Drosophila melanogaster: one gene and its partner. Changing the gene in region 1 together with any one later gene gives a genetic interaction. Each region holds a gene or a part of one and is shown on either strand. Other genes may lie near its edges.

Region 1 (5,038 bases):
TCGGCCACATGGAAAAGGTTCTTGTTACGGATCTCACGCTTCTTGGGGATCTCCATCAGGGTAACGCGGGCGGGTATTTGGTTCTGCTCCTCCACCCAGTAGGCAATCACGTTGTCTGTGGGGGACCAAGAGAAGCCACGAATGCCGGGAATCTTAATGGACTTCAGGTCCAGAAGATAGAAAGAGGGTGTCTCGTAGATGTGGATCGAATTCTCGCCCATGCGGGCCACAAACTTGTCGTCGTGCGACCAGCGGAACATAGAAAGAACCGACATGCCATCGGCAACAAACGAACGTTTCTCGGCTCCAGTGCGAATGTCCCAGATGATGATCTTTTGGCCCGTGGGTGTCGGTCCGTAAGTCACTAGGTAATTCTCGCAGGGCGAAAACTCAACGAATTGGGTACCAGGATGGGGAAACTTCTGAATCTTCTGGAAGCTACTGCCACCCCAGATGGCCACACCGGGTTTGTGGAAGGTGACTACATAAGTACCCAGGGGCGACCACTTGACGAAGGTGTCGGTGAAGCGTTCGCGAGTCTCCAGCTCAAAGGGTTCGGGCAATACGTTTTGCCAGAAACCAACCTGCACGCAGTTGGGAGCGGTCTCCGCTGCCACGCAGTACTGGTCATAAGTGTCCGGGTCATTGATGAAGTTGTATAGATCGCTCTGCACTTTGAAGGTCTGCACGGTTGGCGGCTCCCACTTCTCGGGGATGTTTTCGTACCTGCCAAGATTAAATTTTATTAATCTCATTGCTTGATGCGGATGCAAGGAGAACTTACTTTTGGAAATCGGTGAAGAGATTGACGGCAAAGGTGTGGTTTTTGTCTAGGCGATGATTGTTGAGCTTCTTGACGGCTTCCTCCGCCTGTCTGGCCTGCTTGTACTCCATGAAGGCGTAGCCCTTGGTCTTGCCCTCCTCGTCGACGGGATAGACCACATTGACGATTTCTCCGTAGTTCGAAAACAGCTTGTTGATGACCAACTTCAGCTTCTCCAGGCGCACCGGCTCCACCTTTGGGATATTGTCCACTACCACCACACTCTCGACGCCATCGGCCTCCGAGGGGCGCTGGGCCAACATGTCGCCCAGCAGATCTGAAAGTGCATCACGAATATATTTAATTAGATATGCAAATGCAAACTTTCGCACACCGCACACGGATTGAGGTTAGATCGCCGCGTGTGATGCGCTGGCAGTCGGTGATTTTCACCTTCATCACTAATGTTGTCCACGAACCCGGGCGGATCGTCAAAGTTCGGCTCCTCCTGGTAATCACTGTCGTTCGCATCCGTACCGGAGTGCTCCTCGCTTTTCTTCTTGGCCATATTCAGCGATCTATTTGCAATTTTCCGTCATTAAACACACAAGCACAAAGTGAAAAAGGAAGAGCGAGATGCCGCATTTGCCAGTCAAGGCGAAACACTGTTTTGTGTGAATGGTTAGTGTTGCCAACTACTCACTGCGTTGATAACGCGGCGGGGTAACTTTTATTAATATTTATAAATACATATGTACATGCATATATTTTAATTTACTGTTTCTTAGATTTATTTGTATTTATACTGCATATGTTTGCTTGACAGCAATGACAATAATATCTGGATCCTTCTCTTATGGATCCTTAACAACAGAATCTTAGGTGCTTATCTGGTGATAATGTGTTAAAACGGCTAAATATTATCATTTTGTATTTCATGTACATACAATTATTTAATATTAGTCAATATGTATTAAGCAAAGTATAACCTATAACAACTAGTTTAATCGTTCTTTAATAATACATACATTTTTTCCGCTTGCAACTCTAGCGATGGAAGTTTTGAAGCATGTTCAACCGATTTTTTAGAATTAGGCATCAATCGATTTGTTGCCGATAAGCCAAAACCGATTGCATCGAGTAATCATCGGCTGGGGTTCCATCTCTCACATGAAAATTTGTAAGATTTTAGAGCAGATCGGTGTCCGTGATTTTCTCAATTTAAGCCCAATTTGTAGTATTAAAGCTGTTGAAAAATGCAGCGGGGACGAGCGCGAACCGTGTGAAATGCATGCGAAAGTCGTCGGTGCAGCAAATCAGTGCGAAAAACATCCCAAATGTGCGTAGGCCCCACACTCACTCTCGCACACACACCCGCGCGCACATACACAGCTTTTTCGGTCACCACTCGTTCGCTGTGGGTGCGAGCAGTACCACACTAGCAGTGTCGCACACCAGCACTGCCAGTGCAGCGGGAGCGACAGAGAGGCAAACAGCGGGCGGCGGACAACAACAGTGCGAGGCGAAGGAAAATGTTTTCATTTACTTAAGTCGGCGGTTCCCCAAAGAAAATTGGAAACTTGCTGGCTTAAAACGGATTGGGAAAACATTAATTATACCATGGACGGGCGGTTGAACACTGCGATGGGTTGAAAAGTGCGTAAATGGCTTGTCCAGACGAGCAAATCGCAACAGCTGATGCAGCAGCATCTCGAGAAAAGCGAACAGGCAACTGTAAAGTGTTCTCTGTTATTGTCGCACTGCAGCCCCGCCCCCGCCCACCACCCACCGTCGCGCTCCGTGAATGATTCACATTTTCTTTCGGCTGCCCGCCTGCCTTTTAAGCTTTTTCCCTGCCCCGCCCGCCGAAAAAAATTCGCTGACAATGCGTGTGCGCAATTAGTTATTTTTCTCGATTTCCAAGTGGTTTGACAAAGTGCCAATCGTGTTTTTGTATTTTCTTGTGTTTAGGCTCCAAGTGAAAATCACCTAAGCTGAGGAAAACTCCAAGCCACACTCACACACACACGCACTCGCTCGCACGCAGAAAAGAGACAAGTGAAAAAGGAAAAGCGGTGTGTTGTGGTCAAACATAGAGTGCGAAAAGTGCAAAAAGTGCGGAAAGTGAAGTGGCGGGCGTCGGAGAGCCGGAGTCCGTCGCAGGAAAATCCGTCAGCATGGATGTCGAAACACAGGAAATACGACAGGTAAGCGCAGCAAGAGGGCTTCCCGTGTACAAAGTTACACATAAAATAAACTCATATTTGAGCTAAAAACAAAAAGCACTCATTAACATTCCAACGGAGGCGAAGCGGGCCTAAACACCTACTCTCTTGGCCAAAATGGTGCGCTGAGGTAATGCCGCTCGGCAACTTAGCGCTTAGTATGCGACCGACACCTACTTACCAATCGACTGGTTTCGATGGCCAATGCAAACAACTACAACCGGTAGTTGTGTGGGGTGTGCTTGTGCTGATCGGAATATAATGCCAGCAGCCAACATCCATTCATAAAACTGCAGCTGAAAAATCGAAGCCGGAAAATACGCTTTACCCCTGCAAGATTAGGCATTTGTTATCGTTTTTCTCGCTTTGAGCTGGCCGCTGTTGCATGACCTAATCGCTAAATATGAAAAGAAAAAACAAATAATAAAAAAAAAAAAAAACGGCTTACGCATGCGAATGCCAGGCGCAAAGGGAGAAACGCTAACACTCTGCTCGGCGGTTTGGGGCCTTGCGTGTACACCGACTTTTCCCCCAGACAACTCCCTAGAAAGTCGCGCTGGAGTCTCGTTCTTGGCCAGCAAAAACAAACAGCTAGGAACCATAACGCGAACCGAACCTATGGCTAAACCCATTCAAACATTCAAACATCCAAGCGCTGACTCAAGCGGAGCACTCTCTTCTTGCCCGCTTTCCTTCATCAGCACTCTTTGTTATATTTAGCCGCAGATATCGCTGCCCATTCTCTGGAATGCCAAAAACAAGCAACGTTCGGCTAGATAATGAAATCATAAAGTCGCGCCAATTTCAATTTGTGACATTTGAAAACCACCAGCAACTGAAACTTTATTACAAACATGTGATGGAAATGTTTGCGGCACAGAGAAAAAACATCTCTAAACTGAACAACAATAAATCATCATTATATTCATTTTTAGTTTTATTTTCTTAAATATAACAATTATCTCAGAAAACACTAGTTTATTAGCTTTCTAATTATTACTCCCTCAGCAACCTAATTCTCATTAAATTAGATTGTTTTTTTTTCGTGTGTATTTGGATGCTTGAATACAAATATGCTATCCATCCATCCATCCATCGTTCGTTTATTCATAGTGGGCGTCCAAAGCAGCACTCATTTATTGTTTTTCTTCGAATTGCCTGCACGGTCTTTTGAAATTTGAGTTTTAGACATTTTTCCCCCGCGAGTCAATGCAAAGTGCAGCCAGAGTTTTTCCGTTTCGTTGGCCATTCAAATTATGTTGCGGACAGTTTCTTGCTTTTGGTGGAAAGCGCTTCGCTGGGCAAACAGGTTTTCCCTCCACCTGTTGACCAATTCGCATAGCTGGTCGGTCTACGACCTACGCCAATATTGTTTTCCCCGCCACTGCACTTTTCCCCCCTTATTCAGCTTGAATTATTTATGGCATATGGTTACAAGCATTTAATCCAAAAACCGCCCAAGAGCAAATTCTTTTCAACTGGCTTTGGGTATACAAAAGAATCGAACCACTTTGGTGAGATTCTCTGACATAGTTATTGATGACTTCATGCAACGATTTTGTAAGAAACCCGTTTGAAAATTATGGAATGAAAGCCAATAATAAAGACAGCATGGAGAAGTCAATGCATTGCAGCAAATACGAAAGGCACGCCGAAATCAAACTGAGTTAATGGTAATTGATAAACTTACCCCTCGAAGTTTTACCTTATCTCCAACTGTTGCTGTCTCATGTTTACTTTCTTATTTATTGTAATCCCACTAACATTAAAATGGGGGTCTCTATAAAATAAAGATAAACACCTACATCTTATCGGACACAAGCACATGTTTTATAAGTCTAGTTGGAACGTATTTTGCATTGGACTCGACCGATATAGAACCAATTTCCGCATCTGCAACAGCGACAGTTTCCCTCTTGAGAATTTATTTTGATTGCTTTTCCCCCATTTTCAATTAGACCAAGAAGAGGCCATTCGGAATAGAGCAGAATTGTGATTATGAGTGCAACAAGAAATGGGTTGGCTGGCGAAACATGGCCGCACTCGAGAT
Region 2 (4,946 bases), on another chromosome or scaffold:
AACCTAGATGAGGCCGATCCTCGCCTCCTGGTCCATTTCACTCCGGGGTCGCCAGCTGCGGCGCCAGCGACTCCTCCTCTCATTGGCGCGCCGCACGCTCCGTTTCCATGAGGCATTCGCGCACCAGGATGCGGGCATGGACAATGCCCCGCTTGAGACGCTCCGTGGAGCTGCGCGAGCCCGTGTACGTGGGCCGGATATCGCGGCCCATCTCCTCAATGACGGCCAGCAGCTGGGCGTACTTGGTCAGCCCATTGCCCGGGCCCACTGAGGGCAGGCTGGCCGTGGAGGTCAGCGGCGTGGTGATATTGGCCGAAGTTTGGGTGGTCACCACCACGGGCGAGGTGGAGGGTGGCGGGTACTTTAGCTGCGATGAGCTCAGATTCAGGCCCATGCTCTGGCCATTGCTGCCAGAGGAGGTGGAGGAAACGCCGGCACCGGAATTCCGCTGACCACCATTGCTGGAGCACATGTTGGCCAGCGAGAGGGCCGCAGCGGCGACGGCTGCCGGCGTGGCCGTCGTGTTCGACTGCTGCTGGAGTAGCGCCAGCTGGGCCTGGAGGAACTGCGGGGAGTATTGGAGGGCAGCGACGGCGGCGGCAGCTGCTGCTGCATTGGCCGCTGCAGCGGAGCTCTGCTTGCTGGACGAGCTGCTGTAGTCGCTGGCGGAGGAGCGGTCCCGCTCCCGCTTGCCACCGCTGCTCGTGGAGTAGTCGGTGGCAGCGTTGGATGAGTTGGATCCGCCTCCTCCGCCAACGGATCCACGCGAGTGGTGGATGGCCGATATCTGGATTTGGGGCTGCTGCTCGCGCTGCTCCCGCTGCTGCTGGTAATTGTAGAAATTCTGCACTTGGCTGCGCGGTATCGGTGTCACCGTGACGTCACTCAGCTTGGACTCTACGGCCTGGATATCCATGATGTCCATGGTGGCGCTGGGCGATGTGGTGTCTGGAGTCGATATCCGTCGGTTGTTGTGGTAACTTAACTATGTCCACCTTTCCGTTTTCCTGGCACACAAAACTACTAGTTTTTAGCGTTTCTTTTTTGGTTTATTGTTTTTTGTGATATGATATCGATATCGATATCAGGAGGCGTTATTACGCTTTCCCTTCAACGCACAAACAAATACACCCCCACCAACAAAAGTCGATGGTTCGGATTATAGTATCGATAGACAAGCGCGATGCAAAGTGCCCACCTATTCGCGTCTCGAATGTGGGTGTTTCCACTGTACAAGCAATTTGTATACATGTGGAAAGCTCTTTGTCCAAATTGGTAAATGGCTAAATGTTTTTGAAAAAAAGATAATTAACAACCATAAAACTACAAGAAAATTACAAAATTTAACCCAAGTGCATATGTATACATGAATGACAAAACGGTAAAACCATGCAAATGAATAACCATCCACGTCGAATAATACCTAGTTCACCCTGATAAGGCACTCCCAATTTGTCTTATTAAACAGCTAATTTTGTTAGGGCTTAAAAATACCCAACGTTATGTATGTCTAGTGTTGTCTAGTTTCGGGGGGCGGAAAAGCCAATTGCACACAAATATACAAAGTATTGCCGAAACGTTGATTCTTTCAATAAATAAGGCACATTTTAATGAACTTATGCTTATGCCAACAAAAGCGGTCGCTTATTTTTATTACTTATTGATATAAATTCCAAAACAGCTGACATTTTTAACGGTTACTTTGCCTAGTGTTGGCCAAGACATCAATCTTAATAATAAACTCTCAAGTTGTCAAAATTATACTTGTATTTCTACTAAAAAGTCATAAATATACCCAAAAACTACTTAGCCAATAGTAACCCTGCTTAATATGGATTTTATTCACTTATTAACACGCCAATTGTCTCACTTTTCAAACACAACGGCTGATTGCCAGCACTGTTTGCGCTGCAGTCCAGTGCTGCGCAACGCGGCGGGGACAAAAAACAATGGCGAGGCGAAACTAAAAAATTGTGTTGCTGACATCTGGTCGCTTGCAAAACTATTTCTAGCAGATTTTGTGATATTTCGTTGTGATCGGTCGATAAATCCGCCAGTTTTTTTTTTAATGGAAAGTGCTAACACATTGTAGCGGTTGGGAAGATAGCAGGAAAGGTGAGCGAAAGGCAGAAGATTGCGAAAAATTCAATTAAATTTCCGCGACCGTCTGTTTTCTGCATCGGTGTGTGTTTGTGTTTGCTCGCAAGTGTGTGTGGGTGCTCTGTGTATGACGTAAAGCGATAAAGCAAACGCATTCCCCCCACTCCTTGCATATGTGTGTGTGTGCAAGTGTTGTGTTTCTCTCTCATCAGTTTTGCATCTAATTAGGAGCGGAAAGCATTGATTGGCTGCCAAACGCCGCGGTTTGTTGTTTTTTTCGCTGCATTTCGGCCAAAAGGCTTGCCGCAGCTGCATATGTGTCGCTATGTGTGTGTCAGTGTTGCACAGTGCCGCCAGTGCCCACAAAATGGGCGCACAACAACAAAAGCAGCAACTCGGTTGGGATTTTCGCGATCCTACGCTGGCTCGGAGCTCCCCTTTTCCTATTTCCAATTCCCAGCCAGCGGGCTGCCGTTTTTCCTTTTTGTTATCCGTTGCCAGACGCAACGAAAACGACAGTTGGCATTTGAATTCAGCACAAACACACATACTAACGCCGACCCGCAAGCAGCACACACACACACACTGGGACACTCGAAAAAAAAAAAACAGACGCTGTCGGCGACCTCGACAAGCAGTTGGGTTCGATTTAGTTGTCAATGCCTTGAATTCGGTTCGGGGCTTAGTTTCCACAAGTTTATCGCTCGTCAAGAAACAACGAAATAAAATTATTTTCGACCTAAAAAATCTGACTAAATTGTGTTTTTTGTTTATGTATTTATTTAGGCACATTTTGCACACCACAACGTAGTTACTACATCTACGACTAACGGAACTCCTCCTGCAAGCAGTGGAAGTTGCTGTCCATCAAGCAGTACTCGGAGTTAACGCAGGATAAGCCGGGAGAAAGAGAAAGAGATCGGTGGAGAATAGAGATATACAGGTGGAGTCAAAGAGGAAGGATCATGGACATGATTACGGTGGGGCAGAGCGTCAAGATCAAGCGGACGGATGGCCGCGTCCACATGGCCGTGGTGGCGGTGATCAACCAGTCGGGCAAGTGCATCACAGTCGAATGGTACGAGCGCGGCGAAACGAAGGGCAAGGAGGTAGAACTGGACGCCATACTCACGCTCAATCCGGAGCTAATGCAAGATACTGTCGAACAGCACGCCGCCCCGGAGCCCAAGAAACAAGCCACCGCGCCGATGAACCTCTCGCGTAATCCCACACAATCGGCTATCGGTGGCAATCTCACCAGCCGTATGACCATGGCCGGAAACATGCTGAACAAGATCCAGGAAAGCCAGTCGATTCCCAATCCGATTGTCAGCAGCAATAGCGTGAATACAAACAGCAACTCCAACACTACGGCCGGCGGAGGTGGTGGCACCACAACGTCGACGACCACTGGATTACAGCGTCCACGGTACTCGCAAGCTGCTACCGGCCAGCAGCAGACAAGGATCGCCTCGGCGGTGCCTAATAACACATTGCCCAATCCCAGCGCGGCAGCCAGTGCTGGTCCGGCGGCACAAGGAGTCGCCACTGCGGCCACAACCCAGGGAGCTGGCGGCGCTAGTACCCGGCGATCGCACGCATTGAAAGAGGTGGAGCGACTGAAGGAGAATCGCGAGAAGCGACGCGCCCGACAGGCCGAGATGAAGGAGGAGAAGGTGGCGCTGATGAACCAGGATCCGGGCAATCCAAACTGGGAGACGGCGCAAATGATACGCGAATATCAGAGCACGCTGGAATTTGTGCCGCTGCTCGATGGCCAGGCCGTCGATGACCATCAGATCACAGTGTGCGTGCGCAAGCGTCCCATTAGCCGCAAGGAGGTCAATCGCAAGGAGATCGATGTCATTTCGGTGCCGCGCAAGGACATGCTCATCGTGCACGAGCCGCGCAGCAAGGTCGACCTCACCAAGTTCCTGGAGAACCACAAGTTTCGCTTCGACTACGCCTTCAACGACACGTGCGACAATGCCATGGTATACAAGTGAGTATCCAATCCAAATAACAAGCTCCAAAACAACTCCATATATGGTCTGTTTGAATTACTAGTAGTGATTCTAAACAAACGCTCGATATGGTGACCACACATTCCAATGTCTTGGGGAGGCTTCTTCAATTACTAATGCGTATCCTTGCTAGCAAACGGCTTTATTTCAATTGAACTGAACTATAGAAAATCTTATTTCGTTATAGATGACCCTCTATAGCTATCATTCAATCTTAAACCTAATTTGTTGATGCAGTGGAATCATATATAGTATAAAGCAGCATATCCTTTAAAGAAATCATTGCCCCATTTATCAGATTTCCATCGAGTAACCAAATGTGCCAGTCACTTTTCGAGCTCGTTTCGTTGGCGCATCTCTGTTAGAGCGACCCATTGAGTCATGCCGACAGAGACGGCAACAGAGCCACACACATGCATCATGAAAGCGGTTGCTCCCGAAATAGCCAAGTTCGTTGAATGACTAACTTGGAAGCCCCAGACGCTTCACCTGCCCCCGCCCGGCCACTCCGTCCGCCGATCTGCACACGAGCTCTCTAAACCCAATTCTCCAGCGGAAGAGATTTCGAAAAAGTAACTGCCTTGTGGCCCGGCATTTGTCCATTAGCAATTGTTTGGCTTCAATTGAATTAAAGCTGCTACGGCTGCTGCTGCCCCTTTCCTTTCTCCGCCAACTTCTTGCTTAGCTTCTCTTTCCGGTTTTCGCACTCGTATGTATTGTGTGGCTGTCGGGAATTGGTAATGCCATTAGTTGCGTCACGGCAATCGCTTAAGTATAGCCCAAAAAGTATACCCCATGAGTAATATAGCCCGGCATTAATGC

The links.
Region 2: of Patronin (region 1) and Klp10A, changing one suppresses a phenotype caused by changing the other (phenotypic suppression), as found in Drosophila melanogaster (one study listed by BioGRID).

What each region holds. Positions count from the first base shown.
Region 1 is NT_033778.4:17,532,758-17,537,795, reverse strand, and holds the start of Patronin (patronin), read left to right. Parts: upstream 1-1,929; 5' UTR 1,930-2,102; intron 2,103-2,146; exon of another isoform or gene 2,147-2,734; 5' UTR 2,735-2,940; coding exon 2,941-2,970; intron 2,971-5,038. Other genes in the region: eIF3b (eukaryotic translation initiation factor 3 subunit b), read right to left, coding at 1-726, 785-1,100, 1,217-1,331. UniProt on the Drosophila melanogaster protein: Key microtubule-organizing protein that specifically binds the minus-end of microtubules and regulates their dynamics and organization. Involved in mitotic spindle assembly. Regulates microtubule (MT) severing.
Region 2 is NC_004354.4:11,134,036-11,138,981, reverse strand, and holds the start of Klp10A (Kinesin-like protein at 10A), read left to right. Parts: upstream 1-1,863; 5' UTR 1,864-2,115; intron 2,116-2,203; exon of another isoform or gene 2,204-2,886; 5' UTR 2,887-3,065; coding exon 3,066-4,102; intron 4,103-4,946. Other genes in the region: CDK2AP1 (CDK2-associated protein 1), read right to left, coding at 80-925. UniProt on the Drosophila melanogaster protein: Required during anaphase to drive sister chromatid separation to promote flux by actively depolymerizing kinetochore microtubules at their pole-associated minus ends, thereby moving chromatids through a 'poleward flux'.